Linked DNA regions of Drosophila melanogaster. Changing the gene in region 2 together with the main gene of any one other region gives a genetic interaction. Each region holds a gene or a part of one and is shown on either strand. Other genes may lie near its edges.

What was found.
Region 1: of Csk (region 2) and p120ctn, changing one suppresses a phenotype caused by changing the other (phenotypic suppression), as found in Drosophila melanogaster (one study listed by BioGRID).
Region 3: of Csk (region 2) and cpb, changing one enhances a phenotype caused by changing the other (phenotypic enhancement), as found in Drosophila melanogaster (one study listed by BioGRID).
Region 4: of Csk (region 2) and HPS4, changing one enhances a phenotype caused by changing the other (phenotypic enhancement), as found in Drosophila melanogaster (one study listed by BioGRID).

What each region holds. Positions count from the first base shown.
Region 1 is NT_033778.4:4,593,069-4,599,003, reverse strand, and holds the start of p120ctn (p120 catenin), read right to left. Parts: upstream 3,717-5,935; 5' UTR 3,577-3,716; coding exon 3,542-3,576; intron 1-3,541.
Region 2 is NT_033777.3:11,643,285-11,649,175, forward strand, and holds the start of Csk (C-terminal Src kinase), read right to left. Parts: upstream 3,693-5,891; 5' UTR 3,562-3,692; coding exon of another isoform or gene 3,504-3,561; 5' UTR 3,432-3,503; intron 1-3,431.
Region 3 is NT_033779.5:1,702,393-1,707,787, forward strand, and holds cpb (capping protein beta), read left to right. Parts: upstream 1-2,509; 5' UTR 2,510-2,719; coding exon 2,720-2,722; intron 2,723-2,738; exon of another isoform or gene 2,739-2,885; coding exon of another isoform or gene 2,886-2,888; intron 2,889-3,007; coding exon 3,008-3,835; 3' UTR 3,836-4,385; downstream 4,386-5,395. Other genes in the region: CG17660 (uncharacterized protein), read right to left, coding at 5,380-5,395. UniProt on the Drosophila melanogaster protein: F-actin-capping proteins bind in a Ca(2+)-independent manner to the fast growing ends of actin filaments (barbed end) thereby blocking the exchange of subunits at these ends.
Region 4 is NT_033778.4:17,684,589-17,692,219, forward strand, and holds HPS4 (Hermansky-Pudlak syndrome 4), read left to right. Parts: upstream 1-2,102; 5' UTR 2,103-2,267; coding exon 2,268-2,350; intron 2,351-2,669; coding exon 2,670-2,904; intron 2,905-2,967; coding exon 2,968-3,210; intron 3,211-3,265; coding exon 3,266-3,360; intron 3,361-3,418; coding exon 3,419-4,937; intron 4,938-4,994; coding exon 4,995-5,227; intron 5,228-5,285; coding exon 5,286-5,454; 3' UTR 5,455-6,234; downstream 6,235-7,631. Other genes in the region: CG42561 (uncharacterized protein), read left to right, coding at 296-316, 386-507, 567-810; CG42562 (uncharacterized protein), read left to right, coding at 1,255-1,278, 1,332-1,456, 1,519-1,750; swi2, read right to left, coding at 6,500-7,048, 7,116-7,295, 7,355-7,631.

The DNA.
Region 1 (5,935 bases), on a different chromosome or scaffold from region 2:
GACAAAATATGCTTCACTTTACTGGTTCTTAGGCTTTACATTTATATTATTTTTGATCAATTGACACCATGTAAAAAATTCTTGGTTTGCACTGCCTTAGCATGATAATTCGAATAGAAATTGTAATAGCAGAATCTATGAGCATAATATCACATAATAAATTTCATAAATGACTTTGTATTGGATTAATTGAAATTCGAGTATTAAGTTGGCCTCGTGTGAAAAATGAGAGAAAGACAACTATTTTAAGGTGCTTATGTCAAAAAGTCAAAAAAAGTCAAGAAGTCAATTAAAAAAAAAACTGGTTGTATTTTTATATTTATTTTATATATATATATATAAGAAATATATATATATTTATTTTAAACAATGTATGCTTATATAATCAGTTTGAAAAAAATTTTTTAAAAGTGTTTTATTTATTTGGAAAATGTATGCTTTAAATAATTTGTAAATAATTTTTTCACCTTTGTAAATAAGATCTGATTTAATATAAAAAGGTCATTATTTCGGCCAGACCAAAAGTGTCCGTTTTACGAATCGAAAAAATTTTACGATTTTGAAAAACGAAGCATCGATTTTTCTATTTCAAATGGAAATTGTAAAATCCTTACGAATTCGATTAACGGAGCATGCCCGATTATTAATTAGAAGCATGAATAAAAATATGAAACGATAATAAATTAGTTAAAAGGAAATTAAATTTTATATATAATTTTTTAGTAGATAATTTTGCAACGAAATTGACAAACTCTAAAAATGTACCTTCGATTCTTACATCAAAATTGATTTTGATAAATGTATGGCCATTACTTATCTTTTTATTCTAATGTCTTTGGTATGACGTCTGAGATCTCGGGAACTATTAAAGCTAGATAGTTGATACTAAGCATGCAGATTCTGGCGAAGACTTCCCTGTGCAAGATTATTCGTAAAACCCTTACTTTGAAAACTTGATTGGATTTCTTTATTTTATTTTGGTCTTACTAATTTCTAAGTCCAAAAATAAACATAAGTTATTGCCATCCGATTTTAAATTCGTATCATAGTATTATAAATAATTATTTAAGGAAGGCACTTCACAATCCGGGTAATTCTAACCTTCTTCCAACTTACCCAATGAGGAACTTTAACGAACGATCCATATGTAATTAGCGCAGTCGCACCAGAATTGATTTAATTAACGATGCCTTGTATTGGCAGGACACGAAAATGAAGCTCCTAAGATATATGTATGCACACGTATCCTCATGCATTGTAAATTTCACTAAATATGCCCTTCACTTTACAAGTTCCTATACTTTTTAAAACTCAAGTTTTGCATTGCCTGAACTGACAATTATTCAAGTATAGCTTAGAATAGAATAATACATAATAAATTTAAAAAATAGAGAATACTATAGTCGAGTTACCCGACTATCAGATACTCGTTACTTAGCTAGTGTGAATGCGAACGCGAAATTTCATAATTTTTCTGGAATATCGATAGATATTGGGGAACAAAATGAGAAAAAAATTTAAAAATTGTTCCAAAGTGTGGGCGTGACCGGTTAGGGCGCTAGAGTGGGCTTGGCGAAAAGTTTTTGGCAAGTAGATAGAAATTTACAAGACTAATAAAACTATAAAAAAATCGAAAATGGTTCAAAAATGTTGGCGTGGCAGTTTGGGAGTTTAAGGTCGTTAGCGTGGGCGTGGCAAAATTTTTTTTTTTGCAAATCGATAGAAATTTACAAGACTAATAGAAATGTTAAAAAATATGAAGAAAATTTTCCAAAGTGTGGGCTTTTTAGTTTTGTGCGGTGTGTTGGCGGTTGTCTCAAGAATCTGTATTCTAAATTTCAACCTTTACTTCCATTAGCTTTAATAATTCCTGAGATCTCGACGTTCATACGGACAGACGGACATGGCTAGATCGACTCGGAGGTTAATCGAAGCTAATGCACTAATGCTTACAGCCTTATATACCAGCAGCGGTGAACTTTTCGTTTTCGCTTTCGCTTGTGCGCCGGTGCTTTCGATGTTGCTTGGCTCTTTTCGTTTAGCGCACTTATGTAGATTAGCGGAACGCTAAGTGACGCACTACCCTGTATTCGTCAGCTATATTCTCTTCGGCGTCATTTTGCACCTTTTTCACATTTTACAGTTTTGTGCTGTTTGTGGGCGTTAGAGTGGGCGTGGGTCAACAAACTTGGGCTGCGTCTGTGTCTCTAGAATCTGTATGCTGAATCTCAACCTTCTAGCTTTTATAGTTCCTGAGATCTCGACGTTCATACGGACAGATCTTGATCAAGAATATATATACTTTATATAGTCGGAAACGATTCCTTCTGCCTGTTACATACATACCTTTCAACGAATCTAGTATACCCTTTTACTCTACGAGTAAAGGGTAAAATGACTGTTGGATTAATTGTTATTAGAGTATTCAGCTTGCGACTTGTGAAAAGTTTTAGAAGACAATGATTCTTAGGTGCCTATTTCCGCACGTCGTGCCTCAAAAAATCAATTTTGCAATAAACAGGTTACATATTTTTAAAATTTTTGGTAATAAATAGTGATGAACTATAGTTGATGTTTCGTTTGTGAAATGAGTCAAAAAACCGCTAAACGGATATGAAGAATATAAAATATGAAATGATATGAATATGAATGAAATGAATATATTATAATATAAAATATAATATATAATGTAATGTAATGTCATTAGCATTGGGAATAATTGCTGTAGTTGTCCTATCATAGTTGTACAACAATAGCGCATAAAATAGTTCAGGAGAAAATGGGATGATTGAGAACGAATCACTTGTTCTCTGACAAATTTGTCTTCTGCCTCAAACCATCGCGGATAGCATACAAATTTCCCCCGAACAAGGAATCCTTTACGACAAACAAGGGGAGGGGGCTTTAATAAAAACTCAAATTTTCATTGGATGGTAAAAGTGATGGTAAAATAATAGTATGTATACATAATATACATAATAATATATGTGTTTATAATATACACAATTTTATTAAATATTCTTTAAACGGAAGGCATGGATGGATAGACAAAAAATTATATTGTGATATTTTTTCAAATAAATCATGGGAAAATTATTGTAATTCTTTCTGAATTATGAGCGAAACTGTAAGCCACTTTAATACCTAGCCACTCCCTTACAGCTATGTACTCATAGGAGACAGGTATATAAATTTGTACATTGAGAAGCCCTGATAACAATGAAAATATTATTGTTAAAGCATTTTTGCATGCGTATCATTTTATATGTCATGTATACACACATAAGTTCCTTCCTTTTTTTCATACAGTGATTGATTAGCTCGAATTAAATTATCGATTTTTCTTGTTTTATTATGTTACACAAACTATCACTAAAAAAATTAAATTAATTTTTTTTCATTTGATTTAATTTGATTTAATTTCATTCCTTATTTAATTTGATTTGATGAAAACAAGAATTCGTGTAATTTAATTAACACTCTCTTTGCCCTTTTTATATGCGAATTCCAACATATGTATGTTTAAATTAATACCACATACCCGATTAGGCTGTGTTTGAGAGATCGCGCTTCCATAGATGTCCATATGTAAAACTACATATTCACAAAAAATTGAAATCCGATTTTCCAGATATTAAAGCATTTAGTACAACATCATACACAAAAAAGGAAATTCTGTAATGCTTGTGACAAAAGAACTAGTTCATTATTAAGTGGTTCGATAATGTAAGCGCAATCGAATACTTTATGTGAAAAAATATCCTAATTACAATCGGTTATGCTCGGGTAATCGTAATTTGTTTTCGATTTCGATTTTGGCAAAATCTTTCGATTTCGTTTTGGGTGCTCTGGTTTTCGCAAAATGATTGCTATTGGGAATGTTTTGTTTCTTTCTGCTGACTTATTTTGTTTGTCTAAAGCAAATAACGTGAAAAAGGCCTTTTATATTTGCAATTGCTTGTTTTGAAGCCAGGAGAAGCAGAAATGCATTCAACAGTAAATAGACGTTTAAGCTGTTTTCCAGACAAGTAGAGTTTTAATTCTGATTTACGCAATTACTTTTCACAGCACTTTATCCAATTAAGTAACTAACTGAAATACCACTATTTACGAATAACACTTTTGGTCGTCTTTTAAATTAATTAATATTTTATATAAAAATTATTTATTTATTTTTTATAAAATAACTCAGTAGCAGAATGATCTTGTGCTGATGTGGAATAAACATCAATAGACCACTAAGTTAACTATGTTATTCCCTTAGTAAAAGATCTGTTTTGTTATAAAATAATACTAATACTTATTACTTTACCTAATTTTATGTATATTATGTATAATAATTAAATTTCTTTTCATCTGATTTCCAAAAACCTTAGTCCTGTTAACCCTAAGGAGTATTTGTATAACAAAGAAAAATATTTATTTAAACAATTTATAATTATATGTAATTTATTTAGTTGTGTCAAAAACATTAGAATAACAAGATGCGTAACGGCCTTACATTGGTTATGCAATATTCCAGCGACTTGTTTGGTGACGGCTGTAGAGCGTACAAATCTAGGAATGGTATGCGCCCGCTTGTGTGAGTAACAACAATAACTAAAAGTGTGTATGCTGTGTGCTATTTTTAGACGAAATCAATCTATACCTAAGAAACGAATTCGTATGCTTAGAGCCAATTTTCTTTTTATATGATCTAATCTAATATTATTTAAAAATGTATGCCCTGACAATTATTTTAATATTTTTATTTAATATTTGATAAATTAGCCGCTAAAATAAGGTTTCATTAACATATTTATATTTATGTTTGTAATTACTTATACATATGTAAGAATCGGTACACCATTACAATTCGAGCCGATTTGAAATTTTGTAATGTTAAACACTAATCCATGTTCACTTTTTGATATTGTCATCGTGGAAATTGGTGATTGGCAAAATGAGTTCGTCAATACATAGACAAATAGGATAATGATAGTTACAGTGCGTAGGCTGTGCAGATGAAAAGTGTGTTAGTACATTCGGACTTATGGAAAGTCACATGGGGTCGACTCGTCAAAGAAGAAAACGATAGTCCCGAGAAAAAGGCTTTATTTGACGAAAAAGACAAAAAAGCCATTGACAGTATAATATTGTGTATACATAGCAAGTCAACCACATAAAGCATTGTGAAACCGCTAAAGAAGAATGTCAAAAATTGCGTGAAATACATACACCTACGGGACCGGCGCGTAGTATTTGCTTCGTGTTACAAAATTTAAATGTGTGAAACGGGCACAGTGGGGGCACATATGAACAAATTTTATGACATTGTGCAAAAATTAAAAGAAGTGGGTTTTCTAGTTCAAGAAGAAATCCTAAGTGTTTTATTATTGTCAAGTTTGCATCAATCGTTTGAAGGCTTCGTGATTGCTCCAGAAACACGAGATGAGTTTCCATTACTAAGAATTCTAAAAATTAAATTGCAAGAAGGACAATGGCGAAAAGTAACAGATCAAGTAGAAAAATGTGAGCAAACGGTTATTGGAATTCGGTCCGCGAACGAGAATGAGAAGATCGATAATAAAAGAAACGGACAAAAAGAACACAAGCAAGTAAAAAACGGTAAAATAGTAATAGTAATAGTAAAAGAATAGTTACATACTGGAATTGTGGAGGTAGTGGTCACAAAGCTGCGAAGTGCAAAGCGAAGAATAAAATCGCAAGAGAGTTAGAAAGCAAATCCGAAATCATATTCGGCATTCTGCTCTGTCGCTCAGCTAGACAATTCGCCGAAAAATATGTGGTGTTTGGGCTCGGGTGCTACTGCTCATTTGTGCACGAAGAGATCATTATTTAAAAATTTAAGAGAATATAAAGAGCGCATTCTCTTGGCTGGAAACAATTACATTGAAGCGGATGGTCGCGGAACAGTTATTTTAAAGTGGAAAAA
Region 2 (5,891 bases):
AAAATGGGAGTTGGTTCTAATGGATGCCATTGTGGGTGCCCAGTAGCAGATAGTACAAACATAAAAATTCGCCATTTCAGCCTGTTGTAGAACTGAAATCGAGGCTAATGCCCAGTCCGTAGTGGACAAAGCCGGGCAAATTGTTTTCGTTTCTAATAATACTAATTAAGGTTCTGTAAGCGCTTCGATTTGCCATCGGCCAGCATGTGGATACGTCGATTCTCCATCCACAATGGACAACTGGGCGGAATCGATAGAAAAGACCAGGGCAGATAATTGTTAGCAAAAAAAAAGCGCAAATGGAAAATTTCTAAAGAGAAAATTCAAGCTAAAAAAAACAAAGAGGAATGGAATAAAAGCCCGGCCTGGATGGAAAAGGTTGAAAACTAGATGATGAAAAAAAAACCGAGCTACGTACAGAAATTGACTTCATTGCGAGGAATAACTAAATAATAATAACAACTCTTTGCCATCTATATGTTTGTTTTTTTTTGTACTGGCTTTTGGCTAGCTTTTTCCTCAGCAAGTCAATTCGCCACATTAACGGTTTGTCAGCGGCTCACTGAAATAGTCGACAATGGCTTGGAGTGCTCCACAAACAGCGAAAAATGCTGGTTGGGCCAAATGCTGGTTCGGCATTCCATGTTGGCTTATTTCTCTGGGTTGGGAAAACACGAACCAGCCGCCTGAATTGAATTGGAATTCACTGGAGAGCTCTGGCTACATATTGTGCAAATAATTTGGGCGTGGGAACCTCGCAGTCGACGTCGACTGCGCAGTGAGCTAAGCAAAACTATTGTCTATCCCCTAAAGACAGGTGACAAATGTTGGGAAAGTTGGCGGGGAAAAGAGATATTTCTGCACTGATATTGCCATTTAGTTTGTAAGCAGCAGGATTCAATTATTTGCCCATCTTATGGATATACAAAGGGGCAGAAGGGAAGAGGATATCAGTTGGCTTTAAGTTTAATCTTTATCATAGAATTCCCAAATATTTGCCAACATTCACTGCATCTTCACTTTCTTGAACTTTCCTAGGTAAATGTCAACTTACAATTAACTATTCAAATGAGCCAGAATTGGGCACGTGGAAAGTGATTGCTTATCATGACCCACAAAGGAACGGTGGCGGCCAAATGAAATTCTCCGCACGATGGAGTGTTTCTATTTTTCGGAGTGGGAAAAGCGTTCGGTCGCCCAAAGAAGCGCACCGCACAAGAAAGACAACGCAACTAATTAAATAAAACAATAACAGAATTATGTATGACACAACGAGTTTGTGTCGCCGCTGACGAAATGCAAAATGAAAAGCCAACGCCACAAAGTCGAATCAAAATAAAGGCCAAAAAAGTCTAAACCGTTGACTGAGACTGAGACAAAGTGGGCAATAAGCGAGGAGAAAAGCCAAAATAAAACAGAAGAGCTAAAGACAATGGGTCGGGTTTTTGAACCTGGTCGAGATGCGTAAGTTTGCTGGTCCGGATATCCTCGAAATGAGCGTTGGGGATTTTGGAGCTGCGTTTCGAATAGGTTTTATTAAAACCTTGCGGCAATACCTGTTGCATACATAATTTTGGCAAGCGGAGAGTGAAAGTTTCTCGAATGAATACCCTCCTCTTTTCACCAAAACGGCAGCTCTGACTTGGAGCAAAAAAAACAAATGATCGGCAATTTAACTTGAGACAAAGAGCATTTAGCATTCGCTATTGTTTCTGACCATTCCGGCCAGTGGCTTAATTAATAAATTAATTTGTACAATTACTTTAACGTGCCTGGCACGCATTACAAGAAAACGAAAGAGTCCAAAGCCGAGAAATGAAATGCGCCATTGGCTTTCGAGTGTTAAGTGTGGTCTTTGGGGGGCTTTGGAGGGTTTGGGGGCACATCTTCGGCCAGTTTGGGGGTTAAGCTCGTCTTCACTTGTGTGCAGTGAATGGCAAATTGAATAAGTGGATGGAAAACACATAACCGAAGTGTACGGGGAGCCAAGAAAAATATGAGAAATTGTTTCACGCGTCTGCTGCAGTTGTATTTGAAGTCTTTTTTTCTCTATTTCTACATATATATTTCTTTTTTTGTCCACTTTCACTTGGTCCAGCCAGCTTGGAGATACAAATTTCAGTGCGAGATTCATGCAGGACGACGGATTAGTTTCTCAGCTCAGAGAGCGTTGGAAAAAACTAGTTACAGTTTAAGGCTCCGGTTTTGCTTTTTTCTTCGTTTTTTTTTTTTTTCTTTAGTTTTTTGTTGGCCGATTAGACCGGCGATGACTAATGCGCTGGAAAATTGAAAATGCCCCGACACGCCAGCCTACAATGTTTTCGAATTTGCAGTCTTTATTTTTTTCCAGTTTTTATTTTGTCAAAGTCGAGTGTCTGCACGTCGCCAAATCCAAAATTAGCGTGCAAATCGATTGTGCAGAGGGTCTTTTAGGCCGAGTGATTCATGCAATTTCGAGATCAGCTGCGCTCGATCCGCCGCAGTTGCATCTGCGATCTGCGATTTGGGATCGGATTAAAAAGTGCAGTTAGAGAGCGAGCAGAATGGCAGAATAAGCGAAGAAATTGCAGTAATGGGAACTTGTCGACTGGGGGAATTCAATCCACGGAGACCTGAGAAAACAATTAGCACTCTGTGATTGAAGTTGGCCCGAAGCAAACAAAAAAAAAAAAAAAAAAAAAAAAAAAAGTGGTAATCGGTGAGGGGAGGGAAGTGTACAGTACAGTAACATGCTGCCAAGGCACTTTCATTCGAGACTTTCAAACAATCAAATATGCAGCCGCGACGCGATCGTCTTCATTAGTTGCACACGAAAAAATTACATGGTTTGGCGAAGAGCTTGAATTTGAATGATTTTAGAAAGGTGATCAGATCAATTAAAGGCCACCTTGTGCAAAAATCATTGGGCAACCAAAACAGCCCTTTATTAATTTAAAATTAATTAATTCGGCATTCGATATGGGGTCTTGTGAAAATCCTAATCAGATTTAAACTAATTGTAGCAGTCTAACTACATAATTAATTGAAAGCTAAGCCTGACTTTGACCAGTAAGCCCTAAAATCAACTTCAGTTTTGACCGTGCATGCCTTGAGCAATTTTGAATTAATCATGGACACACTCGAAACACAGATTCATACTAATGTCCGATACATGTGGCCAAAACCCATAATTAAGCGAACATCCCCAACATGGCAAATAAAATCAAACAACAAACACACAAAGGTCATTGCGCCACCAAATCTCGAGTATATACGTATGTTCAAGCCATGCTGATCTTTCAGCGCTTTTTGTTTCACTTTCTTCGCACTTTGATAATGTTTTGCATTAATCACTTCCTTGAGGCGAAGCCGAAAAATAGCTCCCGCCTGTATAATTAATTATTAAATTATTACAATAGCGATATGAACAATTCGCATTCGCGCGGTATTACATCACGATAGTTCGCCTTTTGTGCCTTTTCGCTGAACGGATCGGATTATCAAAAAAAGGCCACTTTGCATACCGTCATAATTTATTGTTATTATGTATTGCAAAAAGCCAATTGCAATCGATTCACTCATTGGCCAATTCGCACACACGCGATGATGAGCTGCGCATGCGTGGCAAGCGATTTTATTTTTATTTTTTCTTTTACTATTCTCTCTATTTACTATTCGATTTTTGAATCGAAACGCGACCGCGCGCCTTGCCTGCAAGTTTTCAACTGAAAAGCGATGCACGAAGTTGCCGCCGCGACTGAGTCACGATAAATAAAACCAAAAACACAAAATGAAACGAAAGAAAAAAAAACACAAAATCAACCTCCGAGTTTCAGTTTCAGAGAAAGAGAGCGCCGCTTGCGAAGCTCAGTCTCAGATTTTCTTCGTGTTTTTGTGAGCCGGCTTCTTCTCTTTATCGTGCATTTATTGCATGCGATAAGACCAGTCGCTCGCATGCGATCGCCCACCTGTTGCACATTTGGCCACCGACTGACGGTTCTCCTTTTCGCAGCGTCGCGCTATGGAAGTCAAATCGAAACATGTGTTGCCCAACTCATTAGGCCGATTTTGGCCATTCAAGTAGCTGCTGCGGTCTCGCTTTTGGCCTAGCTAAAAGTAACCCACTCTGCGGTCGCCTATATTTACACGGGAAAACTTAATTAAAAGAAATTTAGTTTATTTAATCGCATTATTAGCGATCCCAAGTAAAAACTAAAGAAAAATTGTAAGACTTACATATATAATTTATTATATTATATATATCAAATTGTACTTTCTACATAAGCCTAACATATTTATACCTTAAATTCATTAAAATCATTACGCACAGTGCACTTTGTGATATCGGAGATTCAAGAGGCAAAACGATCACAGCTTTGTAAAAACACACATCCAGCAACATTGGAGGCTTGTGACTCGGATCGATTTCCTTTCTGTTTCGTTTATTTGGTCTAATTGCCGCCGCTGGCCATGTTAATTAATTCCCCCATTATTGGTCGCACAAACCCCGTGCCCCCCGCCACACTCCTTTTCCCAACGACTTGTATGGCAAATAGTTTTTCTCTTGCATGTTTACTTTTCGTCTCCGTTTCCAGGCAATTTGTTGCCGCTCTCGAATCAGTTGTTTGCAAAAATGTAGACATCAAAATGTTTATTGTTTCTTTCGCATCCAGCGCTTGCAGTTCCAATTGCAGTTGCAGTTGCACAGTTCGTGATTTTCTCCGATTTTTCTCTTTTACATTTCTTGCATATTTGCGGAGCAATTAGCATCAAGTCGGAACCGTGCTCATGCACCAGCTCTCCCAGCGAATTTGCCTGGCGAACCCGAATGGCAAGTAGATCAAAAGGCGAGGGATTTGTGCTAAAAATACCCGCAAAAGCAACATAAACAAACAAACAGATGGCAAGGAAAAAATAACCTTTAATATGCGAAGAAAATGTGTCCGCTGGGCAACAAAACGAGGAAAGTAATAATTTCAAGAATGCGAAACATATGAATGTATCTACATATATCAACGGTTCCAGATAAACATAAAGTACACATTTCTGCACCGCGTTCCCAGATAAACGTAAATGCATATTCCAGCTGTTTGATGATAAGATTAAATGGTCGATAGCCTTTTTTTAATACGATAAAGTCAACGTAAACAAATTGTTGAACGGTGCATGGATTTAGGCTTTCTTCAGGGAAATGTATTTTTTCGTACGGTTTAAATTGGATCAGATGTTTTGGCAGTTGTTCAATAAGTCAAAATTATATGTATATTAGACAGCCACAATGGAATGCATATAGAAAGGCATTCACGTAATTATTTTAGACATCGCTAAATATGACTAATATATAATTTGAACTGAATATATATCTCTATCTCTATCACCTGCCCAGCCCTAGAAGTAATGGCGTATGACCAATCGGAATAAATAAAATTGCAAATTCCAATTAGCATTCCAATCAGTCCCGAGTACAGTGGTCATGCAACGGCGTAATTAGCGCAAGTGAAAATGGGCAGAGATAGATAGTCGTAATAGGCGCAATAAAGGGAATATTGAACAGTGGGCGCCAAAAGTTAGTACATCATCATTCCAATGCGAAAAGTTCACGCAACACTGACCTCACACAGCCAAACTTGCTCACTCACACCGATACAGTTGGAGTATAACGCCCACGCATGTTGCAATACACAAACAAACGGGATACATAGAACCCCGGAGAGAGAGAGAGAGAGAGAGAGAGAGAGGGAGAAGGGGGGGATGACAGTGGGTAGTGGGGGGAGCTTTGTGGCGCCTAGGTGTGACGTCAGCGACCGAAAATTTTTGCCGACGACGCAGAAACTGACCGAAAGACAGCAACAACAAAAGGCATTACTATGAACGGAAACCCGTAACAAAAACTACGATGCGCCACGCTTCGG
Region 3 (5,395 bases), on a different chromosome or scaffold from region 2:
TGGTATATATGGCATATGGTGTATACTCCATATATAGAAGAGCATTCCCCCCACGTCTCCCCCTGCGCCCCTCAGTGTGTAAATCAAGTTGTTGTAAATTTGTCTAACACGATGGATCGAAGGAAGTACAAATTATATTTAATGTGTGTATTTTGATTGTTTTATTTGAACTCACGCTTTGGTTTTCCCATTCAAATTGCGTTCGTATTGCGTATAAGTCACACTTGAAAACTACAAAAACTTTTGGAACAATGACGAGTACAAAATTTCAGGAAAAACAAACGAAATTTAGCAGATAAATTAAAATTAATTAAATATATATAGAGGCGAGGTAACGATAAAGAGGAAATCGTACAAATTTTTCGGCATAAATATAAAGTTAAAATTTTAAGCAAGGCTGTCGGTCAAAAAAAAAAACGAACAGTTGGTGTGACTTTTTAGGATTGAAGTTAAGTTTCCACACAGATTACGCCCCTTTGATTTCCTTTATTTGGACCAATTATTTTTGAAACCAGAATGAATGCAACAGAACTTGAGTTACACATGAACTATTCGATTTACTTTGTTCTGAACTGAAAAGTTTTCGAATTACCCAAACGAAATTTTAACCACTTGAATTCAAAAAAGACGACAACGGTCCACTTGCGAGGGAATTTCGGAATGAGAAGTACTTTACGTGCATAAGGTTAAACGAAAAACAAAAAAAAAAATAGTTTTAAAAAAACGCAAATCCGTTTGGAGCAAACTCAGGGCATTATCAAGACTCACGACGATGTATACATGCATTTAATACAAACAAAAAAAAAAAATAAATAATGAGAAGAAAAACAGAAACTTTTTCGATATGTATTACGATAAAAAAAAAAAAAATTATGAAAGCAACCGCAAAACGGATGTAATAATCATGCGAAACGATTATGAACAACTCAGGTATTAAATATTAAATGAAATATTTTTAAAAACTTATAACGAATCGAGCGGGCAGTCGGTCAGAAGTCAGAATCAGCATTTTCACAAGTTGTGCAATATTCTTAAAGTTTTCTAAATACGTAATAGTATTAATAATCTAATATGCGATCATGGCAAGGATCAGTGAGTTGAGATGTTCATAAGCATGGGATCCGAAAGGTTGAAGATCGAGGATCGATGATTGAAGATTGAGGATTGAGAGAAGGTTAGGTGAGTTTTTGAAGCACATGAGGACTAGGCGTGTAGTAAACCAGCCCTAAGAATTTTTAGTTTTACCACCCACACAAGTCAAGAAGAACAAGCCACAACAAACACACTCACAGAAACACACACACACACATACTCGACGCGAAATGCGAAAATAGTGAAATAAATAGCTAAATGAAAATGAGTTTATATAAAGAAGGAAAACATAAAACTGTGATTACATTTGATTGTCGAAGAAGCGTTGATAAGCAAGTGTTGCATAATTATTGAGCGAAAGAAAAACGATGAAACGAGAAATACGATTGAAAATGGAGTTATGTACTATTATTGAATCTGAAACCGCTTTTGATTTCGAATATTGGCACAGTGTCTAGCATGCGACAGAGCATAAGTAAATAAATCAATATTAATTAGCCGAAATATTAAACTTCAAAAGAACGACTAAGAAATACAAATTATAATTATCTAAGTTATTCGAGATTAGTGAAACCTGCCCTAATTTTACAAGTCACCTGTAACAGTTTTTATCCTGGCTAAAAATCCAGAGCTGCGAAAAAAAATCCCTCGATTTAGTTCACATTTCTCTGAACGATTTCTGTATGTAGTGCACCTTAGTTAAAAATTAAAGTCTGAGATTTTACATTTATCGTATATGGTCGAAGTATACACCTAAAGAGCGCACTTGAAGCGCGAGTCTAAGCCCAAAGCGGTTAATTAAGTTTATTGAACCTACTACTACTAACGAGGCAAAATCCCACACGCTACGTATTTGGCTAAAATTAATGTAAAAATCAAGAAATCCAAGGATCGATTCAGAAGGATACGTTTTCGGAGCACGCATATGATTTCTAAATAAGTATGTATGTATGTCTGAAGAGTGCGAAAGCGAAGCAGCTTAAATATATTTTAAACACGAACTCGGATAAAAATTTACGATTATGCCATACATTTTTGTGTAACATATTAAAAACTACGAGTAAGCTAAACCCACAGTCACACACAAACCAAACGCATTGTAACAGAAACTCACAAAACACGGAGAGGAAATGGGCAACCAGAATGGAATTAAGCATAAAAGTATATGAACGAAAACTAAATTCAATAAACTTGTTGCTAAAATATAATAAAAGTAAGACCATGGTTTTATTTCGGGCGGATTGAGTGCCAGAGTTTATTTTTATAAAGTGTACTGCAAATTATTGCCTTTTGTAAGTAAGTAACTGCCATTCGTTATGTTAATTTTCAAATATTTCCGCTAGATAGTTAGCGGGTAAGAAATCGATATACCAAATCGAGCGAGCAATCGATGCTCCACCAAAATGAACGATATCGCATAATAATCGGGCTGTGTTCCAGCTCTAGCACACCATAGCAAAAATAAAAAATCCTAATAATAAGGAAAAAGAGTCAATTTAGTGCAATCACTTGCAATATAAGCCCGAAATCCTAGCTAGAGTTTAAGATCGGCCCTGCTCAGCGAACGCAGGCCCCTAACATAAACAGTGTAAAACTATCGAAACAAGGGAAAGCAGAAAGTACCAAAATGGTGAGTAATACTACAATAGTAACAAGAAAAAAAAGCAGGCCAACAAACGGTGTTTTTGGTCGGAACCGCCCATTCTGCAAGCCAAATATTCTTGGCAATCACCTAATCCACCGAGAAAACCTCCAGAGGGGCGGCGGCCTGTGGCCTCAAATAATGCCCATATATGGTAATCCCTGGTTTGCCGGGTGGCAGTGGAAAGCGGAGGGATTTTTTGGGCTCTCTTATCGGCGGTGGTGCAGTGACTCAAATTCAATTTCACTGGTGTCTCTTCTCCTCTCTTCTCAGTCGGAAATGCAGATGGACTGTGCTTTGGATCTGATGCGGAGGCTGCCGCCCCAGCAGATCGAGAAGAACCTTATTGATCTGATAGACTTGGCACCGGATCTCTGCGAGGACTTGCTCTCCTCCGTGGACCAGCCGCTGAAGATCGCCAAGGACAAGGAGCACGGCAAGGACTATCTGCTGTGCGACTATAACCGGGATGGGGACTCCTACAGATCGCCCTGGTCGAACTCCTACTATCCGCCGCTGGAGGATGGCCAAATGCCCTCGGAACGACTGCGCAAACTGGAAATCGAGGCGAACTATGCCTTCGATCAGTACAGGGAGATGTACTACGAGGGAGGCGTCTCCTCCGTCTACCTATGGGATCTGGATCACGGGTTTGCCGCCGTTATACTGATCAAAAAGGCGGGAGATGGCAGCAAGATGATCCGCGGCTGCTGGGACTCCATCCATGTGGTCGAGGTACAGGAGAAGACCACCGGCAGGACGGCCCACTACAAGCTCACCTCCACGGCAATGCTCTGGCTGCAGACCAACAAACAGGGTTCGGGAACCATGAATCTGGGCGGATCCCTCACCCGGCAGCAGGAGCAGGACGCCAACGTCAGCGAGTCGTCGCCGCACATCGCCAACATTGGCAAGATGGTCGAGGAGATGGAGAACAAGATCAGGAACACCCTGAACGAGATCTACTTTGGCAAGACCAAGGACATCGTGAACGGACTAAGGAGCACACAATCACTGGCCGATCAGCGCCAGCAGGCGGCCATGAAGCAGGACCTCGCAGCGGCAATCCTGCGACGCAATGTCAAGCCCGAATCGAACTGAGTACTGAGCGGCTGAAGGCTGAATTTCCACATAAACCAATCCAGTCCAGGGGCGTCCCACAAGCTGGCTGCTCCCAAGAAGAGCGCAGCAATATTCGAATTGCAAGGCACTGTTGTCACCACTAAATATTGTCATAAATATAAATAATTTTCATAATATTTCGGCTGCACCCACCCAATTCGCTGTTACTCGCCCAATTGTGTTGAGCAGCTCCGTGGAGGACTCCGCTTGGACTGGACTAAAGAGCTGACTAAAAAATATTAAATACGCATTTCTAGGCAGTAAATTTGTTACATGAGAAAATTGTTACACCACGAGAAGCACATTAATGTAAATTTTGCCCGCCCGTTTCAACTGTCCTCCCACATTGTTGCCGTTTGGAGTCGCGCTTCATCCAGAGTTCAGCCGAAAATGCCAACTTCGCCGCCCTCAAGACAGTATCCATAAGTATTTGTATCTTATTTGTAATAATGCATATTTGCACCGAAGTCGAGGCACTTGCGTTTCGTTCTTAATCCTTCCGCGAATAAATATTGTGTTTATTAATTGTAACTTTGTGTTTGTGTGTAATCTAACAGTAAGGCGCTCGAAGCAAAATATTAACTGAAATCGCTTTGTGATTGTATTATCTGAGGAAATGCACATTACCTTTCTTCTTTACTTAATATTTTTTAACTGAAATTTGGAAGGCAAGAGAAATTTTATACAAAGAAACTAATAAATATTGAATTACAACTAGAAGTGGTTTCATTGGGGGAAAACATCATATTATCGCAAAAGATAAGATATATAAAATAAACTACTACACATCACTCCATCGATGTATACCATATTCTACTTTTAGTCACGACATATCATATCATAAGCTAGTTAGATAAGGACTAAAGAAAAACATGGCGAGTTTGGTTCATGGCTACCTTTAAGATACGTTTGCATTTATTTATGAAAATCGGAGACCGTTTGATTAAAAATATGTAATTAAATACCTTGAGGTGTGTGACGCAAACGATTGTGTGCTTACTTAGACAATTACTTTTAATCTTTGCATAGTCGCGTTTTATCATAGTTATTACAGAATATACTCGTAGATTTATATAGATCGTTTCGTCTTGTGTTACCAGCTATATACATACAATGAGGCGACCACCAACAGCTCACTCATACACCTTTGCGAGTGTAGTTAGGGGCAGCAGCACAAGAATTCAAGTCGAAGTTTTTAAATTAAGTTCTCGGATCGTCGCATAGGTATCTACAACTTAGGCTAGGTATTATGAATAAGTTAGGTTTATTTAGAGGGGGGGAGGACGTGCGCGTAGAAGGAACTACGATTACATACATTATTTTACACGGGCTCAGAAGGCGTGGCCGGACAGACGGTTCTCGAAATTGGAAGATCAGTGTCAGCGCAGCGCAGCAATAAGGGGTTTTCCTCCTCAATGGCGGATAGAACTAAAAAATACATAGCTGCTGGCGGGAGACACGGTTGCGTGAAAATGTGCAAAAATATGCGTAAAAAGTCTCTTCGGTCCAGCGAAAGTCACAGCTTATTGCATTTTCGAC
Region 4 (7,631 bases), on a different chromosome or scaffold from region 2:
TTTGAACCAAGTTAATTGTCACAGCGAAGGCTACCGAATGCTTTTGCTAGATGAGTCGATTTTATTGTGTCCCTTTTTCAATTGCCTTATAAGATGGGAATTTTGCAATTATTTGAATTAGTAGGTGTACTGAAGTGTTTCTCGCGAAGCAGATGTGTGATTTTTTTGTATCTTCATCGTAAAAATCAAAACTCGTTTGCTTGCTACTTAAATCAACCAGCCTTCGTTTTGGGCTCAAAACTGACCAAGCGTTCAGATATTCAGATAGTTTTTGTTCAACCACAGACAGGTCATCATGTCTCGCGATTTTTTCGCGGTGAGTAGTCTTTTCGCATATGCAAATCAAAGTTTAAACATACCATTTTCAAATCATAATAATATTTAGCTGTTGGCAATTTTCATCTTCACTGCGGTCAACGCGGCACCGCAAATTTCACCAACTATCGTTCCGCAAATCCGCACAAATGGCTTTCAACTTGAGCCCCTCAATCAAGAATACTTTCTCAGGTAGCTAATCAAAGTCCAGAAGAGAGCTTCCCTTTACTTAGTTAGTTCTGAATCTGTAGAATCGAACATCCGGGTGGCACTATTCGCCAGGAATCCGTGAGCCAGAATGAAGCCGGACATCTGCAGGTTAAAGGTGTGATTAACCAGCCCTTCGAGGATCAGGATGCCAATCTTATTGTCACCTATGAGGCTGGTCCGAATGGATATGTTGCCAAATACAGCTTCGGCAAGGGTCCTCCAACACCGCCTCCTGACACACCATTATTCCTCAGTCCCGGTGCTCTGAAAACTGCAGCGGGATAGGATTTTGACTGAATATTTAGAAAACATTAAAACCACAACTTGCCGTAATTTATATTAAACCAATTCTGTATTTATAAGTAACAATAAGTAAGTTTATAATCACTCACTAGTTTATAGAAATCAATAAACTAGCTAGACTTTCTTAACTATAACAAATTGTTATACTTATTATTGTTAATTGGCTAAGCCCTATTAAAGCAACTTATTAGGTGACTCGGTCAATGATTCACTGTGGCAAGTTTTATTGTTATGTTATGTAAATCCCTGTTGACAGTATTCAAAAATCACATCTTATAGCTATACTATAAGCGGAGAACGATTTTTGAATGTGTTTATTAATGATTCCAGTTTTGAACTTGGTTTAAGTTTAGCTGTTTATTTGTTAGCTGTTTGCTGTCAGCTATCTAAAAACATCAGTCGCTAACCAAAAGCCAAAAGATCATCATGGCTAACCTATTGTTAAGCTCAGTGAGTTTTTCTCATAAGTTTGCCTGCCAATCGTTGTATAATATTTGCTACAGGTGTTTTTGATTCTGTTTCTAAGTCTGGTGAATTCGGCGCCCACAACTTCAGTTACCAAATTCGTGCCGCCCATAAACGATAATGGAGTTGTGCTAGTGCCATCTGAGAATAATTATTCCCTGAGGTAAACAAAAAATGAAGTTAAGATAATGCTGTAAGCTCAACCAAATGGCTTCCATATTGTAGGATTGATCTCGACGGTTCAACGCGGGATGAGATTGTTGAACAGATTGCGCCAGATGTGCTTCAAGTTAAGGGTACTTATAGCCAGCGTTTTCCTGGTTCGAAATACCTGCTGGTCACCTACAAAGCTGGTCCCGATGGATATGTGGCCAAGTATAGCATATCTAGCCAATCGGATACTGTGAACCAGATTCAACAGTTGCCACCCAATGTGTTGAAAACAGCTGCTGGATAGAGTTGTTATGATAGTTTAAATAAACATTGTATTACGCGCAATAAAACAGACAAGGTCTCTGTTGTTAAACATATATAAAATCTTATTAATGATATTTGAAAATCATTTGCCTCCGAGAGCTTTTTATAAAATATAGCATTGGTAATCGAATTTGTTACACTCTAAAACTGGAATCGATACCTTCGTCATTGAAGTGGTCACCACATGGATGAATACATTATACGAGAGCATAGTTGCTCGTATACCCACCCGCTCAACCGCAATGATGGAAACACTCGGAAGCTTTCACCTCACTTCTCACCTGCTGGTTCACTTGGGCGTGAGCGGAATTCTGATCACGCTCTCGTATCACAGTTGGTCGTATCAGGCAGCTGGGCCACATCGAAATCAGACAGTTGGCATTGTACGGCGCTATTGGCTTGTTGACTTATCAGAATCGTCGGTCGTTAAATGTGATAAGGAGCCACGATGCAGCGCTAGACTTGGAAGCACCGAAATCCACTAGATTTCAGGAGCAATGTTTCGGGATTGGCGCAAAACCAAGCACAAGCGATGGCAGAAGGTGCAGCAGAAGCAGCAGACCTCAATCCTCACCGAAAGGTTGCTCATTTCATACTCAAACTGTGTTTCCAGTGCACAAATATCTACAATGAATTGCATTAAACAACGTCAAACAAATTGAGATTGCATAAATCCAATTTGTATTTGTGTAAAGTTTTTTTTGCATACCGGTTTTGCTACAGCACTTGTTGTATCAATTCTTGAACAAGTTTTAAGATTCAGCTCACATTTTACAAGGGAAAATAGTTGAACGTAATTTCTCCAAAGCTTTTCCTTAACATTAGAAACTAAGCTAAAATATATTTCCCCGTCTCAAAGTCTCAATAACAATAACCCTTGAACTTTATTAAATTTACAGGGAGACGATGATTGTGTTTGTCTACGACACAGAGTGTCTCACAGACGAGGCGGATGATCCCATATCGGCGGTGCTCTACTTCCATCCAAGCTGGGTGTCCGACTCCCAGAAGGTGGCTCTGTGTGGTCAGCTTATGGGCACGTCGTATTTCCTCAAGGATTGCTTCTTTAATCCCCGCATCCTGGCGCTGCAGAATGGAAAATTTGTGCTGAAGGAATTCGGTCGTTTTATTCTGGTAAATCGAATCACATAATTTCACTTTTCTTTTATTAATCCGATGGAGTATTCTGTTTTCCAGGCAATTGGCACTGATCGAAATATTGGAGATCAACTGTTGGAACATCGTGCTGATCTGCTGAGTTCCCTGCTCAAGTTTTTCCACCGTGACGTCCAGACATTGTATGCCCAGTATGCTGCACCGCCCGCCCTGAACCGCCGGAATCTCAGCGAGAAACTGTACCACATCTTTGAAACATATCTGCCGATGCTGCAGCGCAACGGAAATACATTTCAAAATGTGCCGAGGCTGCGAATGCCAAAGGTGAGTGGTTAAAGTAACAAACCGAATTACCTAGATAACCAAGATTCTCTTCCAGACGGCCAGTCATATATTCCTGGAGGCTATACAAACGTTGCAAAGTTGCCAGCAGACAAAGGGAATACTTGGCGGAGCGATTCTGTACCACAACAAGTCAGTTAATCCGGCTAAAGTCTGAACAAATTGTAAATTCAAATACCTTGTCTTTTAGGGTGGTTGCCTCGCAACTGAGCGATATGGTGACCAAGCATCTTGTACTCACCGATCCTCTGCACATCCGCACTGCGGCCGAGCAAGTGACCAACCATCCTGAGTTCCACATACCCAACGGCGTTCAGATGCTGGTGGTTTATTTGGAGCATATGCAGTACCGCCAGTTAGCTGGCGAGGCACAGCGCGCCCAGAACCTGCAGATGAACACAGCTCAGCTCACCCAAAATGGTATGCCGTTTCAGTATGCCAAGCGTAAGATAAAGCGGGACAAGTCGCTCATTTTTACCCATATACCCGAGGAGGAGCACGCCCCGGAGCAGCAGGGAGCAGTTGAACAGCTACCACCAGCCAGGCCCAAATCTATGCGACCCACCCACCTGCCGTTGCGTATAAAAAGCATGCAGAGCAAAGAGCTACCGGAGTCTGGCATTGCATCAATAAATTTCGACGAAACCGATTCCTATCCGCAGTTCATTGGACGAACCAGCGTTTGCAATACTCCAATGACCGAGAACAAGGTACTGCCGGTGGCCAATGTTATGTCCATTTGCGCAAATCCCGAAGATGAGGGCAAAGAGGAGGATATTCACAATTCCAATGGCAAGACACATTCGCGTCGAAATTCTCTAAAAGTGGATGTGGAGAAATTCTTTCAAAACTTCATTAGCAATCCAAACAAACAGCTCACACGACGCAAATCATCTGCAGACCTGCAGGATGCACTTCGCGCCATCTCCAAGAAACTGAATAATTTTACGCATGGCCTCAAAACCGATGTGAATCGAAATGGAAGCGGTAATGGTGATGTCTCTTCGGATTCGCCAGATTTCATAGAGGACGATGATAAGATTACTTCGCGGACCATCAGCGATCCCACCTATCCGGTATTCAACACTAACGGCCAGCAGATCTCGCGCAGTTTGTTTCAGCAATTTCTGGATCAGTATCGTAAATTGTGGGGTGTTGCTAGTGAGCAGGCGCACGAGGATGCCGAGCTAGCCGCTCTGGTAGCCGAGTTCCAGGAGTTCAACGCCGAGATCCAAAAGCTCGACGAGCACATGAGACAGCAAGCAGCGGAAGCATCGTCTGCCGATAGGAATCTCAACGTTTCCGCAGCCAAAACTCCGCTGGACAAGCGATCCATGACGCTGCCATTGAAATCAGCAGGAGAATCTACTTTCGGAGAGCGTGCGTCCGGACGCAGTGGAGCTGGTGGAGTACCACTAACACCCCTGATGGCCAAACTATCTGTTCTGGCTCTAAGCGAAACAACGCCCATCGAGATACAAACTCCGCTGACAACCAGTAAGGTTTTCCCACGGCGAAGTTCACTGAAGTGCGAGGATGCAGTGGATGCATTGGCTGCCTTGACCACAGCCCCTGCTCAACCTCCGGGTCCAATTCAACCAGATGGCTTGCAAAGAACTGAACTCTATATATGCGGACAGCAGAATATGACCTTATTATTGCTCATGGAGGAGGGTACTTGTCAACAACAGCAGGTTGTGCAGAAGATGGTAAGTGAATTTATATTTTTTTCGTCTATAAACATTGTTAATATATCTTCCAATTAGTTCGACATTTGTGTGGCCAAGTTCCCGCACATGGAATCTCAACTGAATCAAACCTTAAATGTAAATGTGGAGGGCGACAATCGCGACGGGAGCAACTATAGCTTCATGTGCGTGGACTCCAAGTGGGATGTTCTGCAGCGGAATGGCCCTTGGAATCCCCTAGAGCTTAATATCCTCGAGAGCATGCACTCGATACATTCCAGTGGTCATCATCTTACAGATTTGATCTTGAGGTATGTTCAACAATCATAAACCTTCTTTCTTTGGTTTTATTAATATTTATATTTATAGATCCAACGACTCCGTTTATTATGGCCATAAGAATGGAAGGACCGAGTTCTTCTACAAGGAACCTACCCATCAGATCAATGGCATACCACCGCCCTCGGATCCGATTGGCAATATACAATCCCGCGCCAAGTCGCGACTGGAACGTGATCATTCCTACATGCTGTTCTAGGCTGTGCAATGGATCGTATATTATAAACATATTTAAATACTCGCATGCTTAGCCAAAAACAGATAATGTAATCGGGGACACCAGATAGTCTGGGTCCCCGAAGAATAGCCAACTTAATGCCATCCACTGTTATTTCATTTGCGATCTCTGGCTGATTCCTTCGTGAGTCTTTTCTTTTGTATAGTGGTTAGATAATGATTCCATATCATATACAATGCAAACCAAGGGAACTCAATTTTAAACGATCTAAATTTTACTTCGACTTTTATACAACAAATTTATAAGAAACATTGCCGACCTTTTTTACCGCCATTCAATGGACTCACGAAGGAAACCAAAAGAATTTTAGATATGCCGCTTACAGCCAGCGAAATATTAAGCCTTGTTTGAATTTTCACTTGATTGATGTAAAGTACAAAAATGTTTTAAGCTTTGTTTACAATGTCCAGCACTGTTGTTTAATTTATAAGCTTGTATCCTATACAATTATTTTAATCATTTTGCATTTGCTTTGACCGAAAAGATGCGACATTTTGCACTGATTTCGAGAGCCAAAGAATTTAAATCAAGGTTTTTAATTGTAAATATACATTATACAAAATTAGATTCATTTAAATGGAATAATGTGTAACTAACCTAAAATTCACACAGATTCCGTTCTGTCCAGTTGCAAACATAAACCTATCTTAGCTGTTTCTCATTATCAAAGATTAAGCGCTTTGTGCCAATTTAAATGCAGGATAAATGCTTAAAATAAACCGTCAAATATGTAGGAACGTGAGAACGAATGTTTTTAACCATACAAAACAATTTGAACAGTGCAATAGTGTGGAAAACAACTATTTTGAGAGTTTTGCGTTGACCTAGCTTAAATATACATACATAAATACCTAAACAACATTATTTATATATATATATATAAATATTCATATATGATACAAAGACCGGTATTGTTTTTGTAGATTTTCAAGAATAAACCGAAAGCCATCGTCGGTGGTTGAGAAATACTTTCGAGTTGAACTTCCTTTAACATTAGATCTAGAGACTAGGGCATTTTCATCACAATCCAAGGAACTCGACCGTAATACTTGTAGTAGTAGTAATCGTAGGCAAGCTTGCCCAGGATAAGAAATATGAGGCTGGCCAGCACCCCGTTTAGCCAATCGATGGGATGGATCTGAGTGCCGCCCTCCACGCTTAAATTGCACATCTCCTGGCGACTGAGGGTCAGCACCTTGGCCAGCAGCTGGTCGTCATCCAGGCGGTAGGTGCAGCTCACATTCCAGGCATCACGCACGATGTCCTTGTACTTCGTCAACAGCTCACGCATTCTGCTGCCAAACTTGCAGGTGCAGTGCCAGGGATTTCGACTTAGCAATAGCAGATTGGCATTCTCGTTGTCATCCAGAGCGTTGTCCAGGGCGTAGACATGAAGCTTGCGCAGATTGTTGCCACGCAGATTGAGCAAGCGGAAGTTCTGCAGCCAGTAAGTGTCCTCCAAGTTGTCCACATTGGATATCTGATTGTTCTCCAGCTGCATATCCACAACGTGGCGGTAGTGGGGATTGTCCCGCAGCGGATTTATGTCACTGATCTGATGACAAATCAAGTAAGTTACTTTTCATTGAGCTTTAATATGCTCATATTAAATATGCTCTTACCATATTATCGTTTATAACTAAAGTGGTGGTGTTGTCCGGCAAAAAGTCAGGCAAGCGATGGAACTGCAAATGGGAACAGTTGACCGTATAGAGCGGTATGTGAGTCTTGGGTAAGATGTGATGCATTAGGCAAGTGCAGTTCCTTAGATCCTCATGCGATTGGCATTGTCTCTTCAGCTCCTGCAAATAAAATCAATCAGGTAATCACAGTGATGCAGGATTGATAAGCAGCTACCCACCAGTTTGTAGTGCATGACCATGAGCATCTGGCGTTCCTTATACTTTCGATCTGTGCATATTAGTTCGTCGCGATCCACCACCAGGCGTCCCTTTTCCGGCTGCAGCAGCAACCACTTGAAGTTGCGCGTACAGTTCCACGGATTGCCCGCCAGATAGAGTTGCTCGAAATTGCGGGGCAGCAACAGTGGTCCATCCAGTTGAATGAGCTGGTTCCATCGCAGATCTAAGACCTTGAGCGGATGCACACGTTTGAAGGTTCGCGATGAGATGTACGAG